2 linked regions of the Oryctolagus cuniculus genome follow. The protein of the gene in region 2 interacts with the protein of the main gene of each other region in a pairwise test. Links are inferred from orthologs where the notes say so. Each region holds a gene or a part of one and is shown on either strand. Other genes may lie near its edges. The genes, in order: AKAP5 and PPP3CA.

Evidence for each region.
Region 1: the proteins of PPP3CA (region 2) and AKAP5 interact in binary tests that used the Homo sapiens proteins (3 or more experiments, as listed by UniProt). The link is inferred for Oryctolagus cuniculus from reciprocal best matches to the Homo sapiens genes PPP3CA and AKAP5.

What each region holds. Positions count from the first base shown.
Region 1 is NC_091451.1:5,986,847-5,991,345, forward strand, and holds the start of AKAP5 (A-kinase anchor protein 5), read right to left. Parts: upstream 2,888-4,499; 5' UTR 2,702-2,887; intron 1,286-2,701; exon of another isoform or gene 1,136-1,285; intron 1-1,135. UniProt on the Homo sapiens protein: Multivalent scaffold protein that anchors the cAMP-dependent protein kinase/PKA to cytoskeletal and/or organelle-associated proteins, targeting the signal carried by cAMP to specific intracellular effectors.
Region 2 is NC_091439.1:64,208,376-64,212,188, forward strand, and holds part of PPP3CA (protein phosphatase 3 catalytic subunit alpha), read left to right. Parts: intron 1-708; coding exon 709-820; intron 821-1,801; coding exon 1,802-1,947; intron 1,948-3,813. UniProt on the Homo sapiens protein: Calcium-dependent, calmodulin-stimulated protein phosphatase which plays an essential role in the transduction of intracellular Ca(2+)-mediated signals. Many of the substrates contain a PxIxIT motif and/or a LxVP motif.

The sequences.
Region 1 (4,499 bases), on a different chromosome or scaffold from region 2:
CCACTGGGACCAGGCTGAAGCCAGGAGCCAGGAGCTTCCTCCAGATCTCCCATGTGGATGCAGGGGCCCAAGCACTCGGGCCATCTTCCTCCTTCTTAGGCACATCAGCAGGGAGCAGGATCAGAAGTGGAACAGCAGGGACTCAAGCCAGCGCCTGCAGGGGATGCCAGTGTCGTAGTCGGCAGCTTAACCTGCTATGCCACAGTGCCAGCCTTGTAATTGAGCAACTTTTGCATCTTAGGCTGTGCTAAGCATCATAGTTACTTCTCTAATCTCTACTATAATGTAAGAGGGCTTCAAATCAAAAGATTGGTTTAGGAGCTGGGGCTTGGCCTAGTGGTTAGGACACCATTCGGGATAACCATGTGGGCTGGAAGACCAGCTTCGTGGCTCCTGTCTCCAGCTTCCTGCTCATGTGCACCCTGGGAAGCTGCAGTGGTGGTTCAAGTGTTTGCCACCCACACAGGAGACCTGGATTGCATTCCCAAATCTCAGCTTCAATGGACCCAGTCCTGGCCGTTGCAGACTTTTTGGAAGTGAGCCAACAGATGGAAGTTCATGCCTTCTTTCTCTGTGTCTCTGCTTCATAAATCATTTTTTAAAAAAGATAAGTTTGGGGCTGGCGTTGTGGTGCAGTGGATTAAACCTCTGGCTGCAATGCTGGCATTCCATGTGGGTACCAGTTCCAGCCCTGGCTGCTCCACTTCCAATCCAGTTCCCTGCTCATGCACCTGGGAAAGCAGTGGAGAATAACTCAACTCCTTGGGCCTCTGCCACCCACATGGGAGACCCGGAAGCTCCTGGCTCCTGGCTTCAACCTGGCCCAGCCCAGCCATTGCAGTCATTTAGGAAATGAATCAGCAGATGGAAAAAAATCTCTCTCACTCTGCAACTCTGCATTTCAAACACATAACATTTTAAAGAAATAAGTAAAAAATTAAAAGTTTGGTGCAAAAAATTGAAATCCACAAATATAGAAGAGATCTTCACAAACTTCATGGAAATGAAAATGACAAAATGATGCATGAATTTCAAGGTTTTTTTTTTTTTTTTGGTGTACAAATAAACATCTTTTCATTGCATTTTCCATAGTTTCTGAAGTCTCCTCGTACTACAGAGTGGATGGCGTTCTCACCATGCACAGATGAAGCAGTGGCCCCACACTTCCCAGCACAGTGGTAACAGAGCTCAGATTCAGTCCAGATCTGCCTGCTCCTGAAGCCTGGTGCTCTGAGGTGGTGCTCTGTGAGTTTCACCAGAAAACCAACTGTCTGGAGTGGCTAATCTGCAACAGAACCATTCATGTAGATTCTTGAACAGTGTTTAACGGCCATTTTATTAACCGTAACGCAGCCCATCAGCTCAGCCTCGAACCAAGGCTAGACCGAATTCTTGCTATTCTGAAGCCAAACTTTTGAAATCCTTTATATTTTACTGTCTTGGTCAACTAAGTAAAAAAAAAAAAAAAAAAAAAAAAAGCCTAAGATAAACGGACAAGCTATGCAATCAGCAAATAGATTAGTTTCATGTACACATAAAGGTGCATTTGAAAAGGAACCCACAGAATGCTACCCAGGCACCCAAGAAAGAAGGAGTGAGGCCTTGAAAAAAAGTCATATGACCTAAAATAAGCTAAGAGACTCTTTCCTCAGACTGTTTTTATGCAAATCCCTCACGTGTGTCTCATTTAGGAAGCCCTTAATTCTATGAACTTGAGAAAGAACTGGAACGCTGAACATCCGTTTACAACCTAAGCAAATATTCCCTTAGGTTGCATCCTTCATACCTCTAACAGAAAGAATCCTTCTAGAACCACGATGGAATTCAAATCTAAACGTCTCCCGGTGCCCCTCTCACCTAATGCCGCGGTAAGCGCTGGACTCTGAGCTGGTTAGAACTCTAAGCCGTCTCACCTCTGGCGGGTTCTCAGCCCCTGGGCCTTTTTATTAAGGAGACGGTGTTATTCCTGATCGAAATACTGAAGTCAGATCATGTTCAGGAATGTGTCATCTGCAACTAACCTGGATTTCTCAAAGACAATTTCTTCGAGACGCTCGGGTGAATGCATATCACACTGCAGAAATAAAACAGCCACACACACACACTCTGACGGGGTGGGGGGTGGTGGGTGGGGGGGCTCAATCTGCAGACAGGAGACCTCTGCAGGTGACTCGCCCTGGAGCCTCCGGAGACCCTGCTGTCGTCGCCGCAGAAAGCAGAGCACCCACGACCCCGCAGCAGCCAGGGCCCTCGACGCTTCCTCCTGCAGGGAGTCAATCTCTCCTCTGGCACGATACAGAGAGCCCAGGATAAAGTCCTCAAAAAAGGAAAATGCCGGGGGCGTGAACAGAGAACCCAGCTTCGAGCTCGCTGCAAAACGGTAATGGCCAGGAACCCATCACCACATTTTACCTCCCCCCGCCCCACCAAAAAAAAAAAAAAAAAAAAAAAGACGGTAAGGAAGGAAAAAGCTACCGGGCAGCCCCGGCTTCCAGGTCGCGCTGCAACGCCAAGCGGGAGGGTGGGCAGCGTGGGCAGGGGCGGCCCTGGCTGCAGATTCCTGCTGACCAACGAGCGCCCGCCACCTCGGGGCGCTCCGCAGCCCGCGCCCGCCGCCCACCTCCCGCCCACCCCGCCGGCCAGCCCGGCCACCCTCCCGGACACTGCCCCGGAGCCTCCTCCCCGCCCTGCCTCCACTTACCCCGAGCGCAGCGGTCCCCGGCCAGCCTCGTTCCCGGGGTCGGGGGCGCGCCCCGGCAGTCGGCGAGCTACAGTCGCACCCGCAGCCAGCAGCCCTCTGCAGCGCAGGGACCGCGGCCCCGCAGCGCCCCCTCCCCAGCAGCGCGGGGACAGGCAGGCAGCGGCGCCAACGCGCTCGGAGCGGGCGGGGGGCGGCGCCGGGGCGGGGCTCGGGGCCCCGCCTGCGAGCCGTGGGCCCCGCCACGTGCGCCGGCCGCGCAGCGGTCCCCCGCAGCGGGTCCCCCCATTGGACCCCCGCAGCGGATCCCCGCGGGGCGAAGGCGGGAGAACATAGGGGAGAGCGAGCGAGCCCGAAGATGCGGGGGAGACGGGGCAAGCAGCAGTCAAACCCGGTCTTAAAAATTGCTCTTCCCACATTGCAACCCCCCTCCGCCCCAAGCTTGAACGTGAAGGGCAGCTATCACATTTCCAGAAGCAGAACTGAAAACCCTGCGCAGAGCAGTGAGGTGTCTGCTGGAGAGAAAATGACAGTTCCCAGGCCGCTGCGAGAAGTTCGTGGAGGGGCGGCGGTTGTGCCCCTTGGGTTAAGCTGCCCTGGGCCTCGCTGTTGGAATCTGGGCTCCTCCGCTTGCCATGCAGCTTCCCGCCAACGCACACCTGGGAGGCGGCAGGTAATGGCCCAGGGGCTTGGGGCCCTGCCACCCAGGTGGGAGACCCCATGGCGTTCTGGGGTCCTGGCTTGGGCCCTGGCTGTTGTGGGTAGCTGGGGAATGAACAGGTGCATGGAATATCGCCCCCACACCCGCCCCGTCATTCTACTTCCCAAGTAGGTGAAAAATAAACATTAAAAAAAAGTAACGGGAAAAATGGAACTGAAAGAGAAGTGTATTTTGGTGCAAACGCTTTCAAGCCACGCATAATTTTCTCATAACATACGTTTTCCATGAACTCGCTGAAGACCCCCTTGTATGTGTGCGGTTTTTGAAGATTTTGGCACCAAAATAAACATCGTTAAATTCCTTTTGCCTGTGAAGATTCTGAAGCGCCTTCCTATGAAGGGAAACTGGCGTGGGTTTGGGAGGAAGGAGGTTAGCGCGGTCCCTTGCCGAATGGGCGCTCAGACCTCTGCTTCCTGTTTGGAAGCCTGCCGAGGGAGCAGGGAGCACGGTCCGGGTCTCGCGCGGGCGGCAGGGACTCAGGCACTGAGCCGTCCTCTGGGGCCTCACAGGGTGTGCTGTGTCAGAGCGGGAGTCGGAGCAGAGAGCAGAGCGCAGTGCTCCCGTGCGGACACGGACAACTCGACCAGGGGGCGCAGAGGCTGCTCCCTATCTTTTATACATTGCTTATTCCCCCAAATCAGCTGAGATGCTTACACGTTACCCACGTCGCCCTTCACACACCCCTAGATCCTGCTTAACCTTGCCCCTCTGGATCGACAGAGGGTGGGCAACAGGAGAGGACATTGTACAGCACCAGTCCTCATCACGGCCAAGTGCACGGCCGTGCCCTGCAGGTGCTACCGTTGGCATGGGCTAGGCTCTACATTTGCATGGGGTTCCTGAACCTTTAAGCAATGCACTAGTCTGAATGAGAAGTACCCCGAAGATGTATCTGTACACATAAAGCATTTGTGTGGGTGGTGTAGGGAGTTGCACCAGCTGCAACACTAGCATCCCACAGAGATGCCGGTTCGAGTCCTGGCTGATCCACTTCCATTTCAGCTCCCTGCTGATGCACCTGGGAATGTGGTCCAAGTGCTTGGGGCCCTGCACCCATGTGGAGGACCTGGAAGAAGCTCC
Region 2 (3,813 bases):
AGAGAGAAAACTTCAGGCTTCTGGATTACTCCCCAGATGCCCACAACATCCAGATCTGAGCAGGGCTGGGCTGAGCCTAAGCCAGGAACTGGAATTGCAATCCAGATCCCCCATGTGGGTAGTAGGAACCCAATTCCTTGAGCCATCACTGTTGCCTCCCAAGGTCTGCATTAACAGGAAGCTGAAGTCAGGAGCCAGAGCTGGGTATTGAACCCAAGTTCTCCACTGTGGGGCTGAGACATCTAAACCACCAGGCCATATGCCTATCCCAATAGTTACCTCTTTAAAGAGAGTGCTTGATTTTTAACTTATGAATTATTTATTAAACATTTCTAATTATACTTTTACGTTATTATATTTTCACTTCCGGTATATTTTCATTTTAGACATCTTCCTTTTTCTTTTTCTTTTATTCTGAAATAGCCTTTCCAAGTTTCCCCAGGCCATGTAATTTTACTTTTGTTAACCATAGGTACTTCACTGTTTTCTTGTGGTCTGTGATCCTCAGTGCATGGGTATTTTAAGTGCAGATGAACCTTTGTTTTGTACTAATCATTGTTTTCTGTTTGATTATCAATATCCTCCATAGTAAGGCCTAACCTTTTCGGGATTTATGTTCATGATAACACACATGATTCATGATATGTGAGTAGAGGAATGTATAAGAATATAATGGTTAGTAATTATATCATTTTTTATGTTTCCCAGTGTGTGCTGTATTTGTGGGCTTTGAAAATTCTTTACCCAAAAACACTGTTTTTACTTCGTGGAAATCATGAATGTAGACATCTAACAGAGTATTTCACATTTAAACAAGAATGTAAGTATATTTCATGCCTGTTCCTTTAACACTTTGTGTGCTAAGTATTTTAATTCATAAGTGCATGTTACATTATGATGCATTGTCTGAAGTGTCACTATTTCATGTTGTCCATATTTCTGACTAAGCATGGACACTTATGAGAATGCATAATTTCTTTTTAAATTACAAATTCTCTATAAAATAAATTATTATTTGGCATAATTTATGCTAAGAAGCCAGTGATTAACTTGTTTAATAGAGTCAGATTACTACTATTGGGGATAATAAATCTATGTTTTCATCTCATATCACTCAAGAGAAGCAAATGGAGAGTGGCAAATGAACTCTCCCTCTATTTTTGGACACCAATAGATTAGAGCCACTAGTGTATTTTACAAAGGGTAGATGACTTCTTCCTTAGATCGTAGAAGTGGGGAATACTTGGTATAAATGTCACTTACCTCCTCTTAATTTTCCCTGTTGTCCACGGAAATTTGTTTCCCTGTAATTGAGTCCTGTTTTCAATGAAGCATTAATTTCTTCTCTTAAAACATTTGATATAAATCGATAAAAGAAAAGCACTAGGCTGTGAGCTAAAAGCAACTCAAGAGATTTCCTACCATCTGTTCTTAAAGTCACTAAGAACTACTGACTAGATTTTTGTCCATCTTTCTGTTGATCTCATTATCAGTATCTTTTAGTTTTGTGCTGTATCTGTAGATAAACAGCCAGAAGATATAAAAAAATTCTCTCATTTGCTATACAGAAAGTTATGAGAAAATGTGAAATATGGGTAGATGACAAAAACAAGCAACATTGGATATAGAAGCTAATATGCAAATCATTAAAGTGTTATTTGGTTATGTTTTGGAAGTTTGCAATGTGTAGTTTTATGCTAATAATAAAATGCCTGGTAAGAAAACATAAAAAAAATTTAGTGAAATGATCTTAGCTGTGAAATGATAAAGTAAATATTTGCTTTCTATTGTGCTTTAAAAGGTAAAATAAAGTATTCAGAACGTGTCTATGATGCCTGTATGGATGCCTTTGACTGCCTTCCCCTGGCTGCCCTGATGAACCAACAGTTTCTGTGTGTACATGGTGGCTTGTCTCCAGAGATTAACACCTTAGATGATATCAGAAAAGTAAGTTCTGTAATCTTCCAGGTCTCCTCATTTGGTGTGCTTCAGTAATAAGTAGAAGACATAATACCCTGCCTTTATCACTAACTTTATGTTTTTGAATTAAAATGATTGAAGTAACCATAAATCTCTTCTCTGTGTTAAATTTTTACCTGGAAAGGAAGATATGTTTATACTTTTCTTCTCTAACACCTTAGGATTCATGGTACCATATGACATGTTATTGGAAATATAAAATATTTGGTCTCTAAAAATCATGCCTTTTATTTCCATTGGCTTTTCCAAGCAATCCATTGTATATCCATAATATATCATCTCAAAAATGTTGCTTTGCCCTTGGGAAAAATACCATAACTTGACCCTTAAAAATGTGTCCATATTATGCTTTTTGCAGTGGAGGATGGCCCAAGTGCTTGGGCCCTGCACCCCATGGGAGACCAGGATAAGTACGTGGCTCCTGCCATCGGATCAGCGCGGTGCGCTGGCCGTGGCGGCCATTGGAGGGTGAACCAACGGCAAAGGAAGACCTTTCTCTCTGTCTCTCTCTCTCACTGTCCACTCTGCCTGTCAAAAAAAAAAAAATGTATTCATTACAGCTCAAAACTTTTAAGTGACAGTCTAACAAAGGAAATTATGTTAAGCTATTGATTGTATTGAGTGCCTAGGTGAAAAACAGTTTATGGGTTTTTGTTTGTTTGTTTTTTAAGATTTATTGTATTTATTTGAAAGACAGAGTTACACAGAGAGGTAGAGACAGAGAGAGAGGTCTTCCATCCACTGGTTTACTCCCTAAATGGCCACAACAGCCTGAACTGCACAGATCCAAAACCAGGAGCCAGGAGCTTCTTCTAGGTCTCCCATGTGGGTGCAGGGGCCCAGGGGCTTGGACCATATTCTACTGCTTTCCCAGGGCATAACAGAGAGCTGGATCAGAAGTGGAGCAGCCAGGTCTCGAACTAGAACCCATATGGGATACTGGCGCTTCAGGCCAGGGCTTTAACCCACTGCACTACAGTGCCGGCCCCCAGTTTATGTTTTAAAAAGCGTTTTTCTACCTAAATTGTCATTGGCTGTGTCTGTTTTACCAGCAAAAAGGTAAGTGAATTAGATTGGCTGTAGAAGTGAATTTAAAAAAAAAAATTAGAAAAATGTAGGATATATAGGATAGTTTCCTGTAGTACAAGTGATAATATTTTATTTCCTTATTTATGTTGATAATCGATCAGTACAACAATGTAAAGAAAAACATGAGCAAACAGGGTAATAAAAAGGTCCACATATTTTCCTTGGTGTGAAAATCCCCAAAGAGATTCATCTTTGTACATGTTTTCTCAAGTTATCTTAAAATAATATCATTGGAATTATTTTAAAATATGATAATTTGTTCACATTAATGTTTATAACAGTTTTATGAAATTGTTAGTGTTCACCACCTACATATTGCTCTTTGAAATTTGAAATAAAGTTTTTGTCTATAATTGGAAACCGTTTGAAAGCTAGATATTATAGGACCTTCTTTACTCCACTTTTAGAGTAGAAAATATGCTTTAATGTATCCCAAAGAGAAGAAACATGGACATGATTATAACTTTTGTTATCACTTTTGCCAGTACTTTTAGCAATAAATTGGTCACATTATTCTAAATTAATTCATTTGAAATATGAAACCCAAGATTTTCCTGAGTTTTAGTATAAAGCTACATACTATTTAATATTTACTCATTTAAGTCTAATGTATTATAAATGGATAGACTTCAAAAAAATCATGCACTAATCTCAATGAGTACAGAATTTATTAGAAAAGTACAGGAAGTCTTAGGAATAATCATGGACACAATTTACATTCTGGCTATTGCTTATTAAGAACCA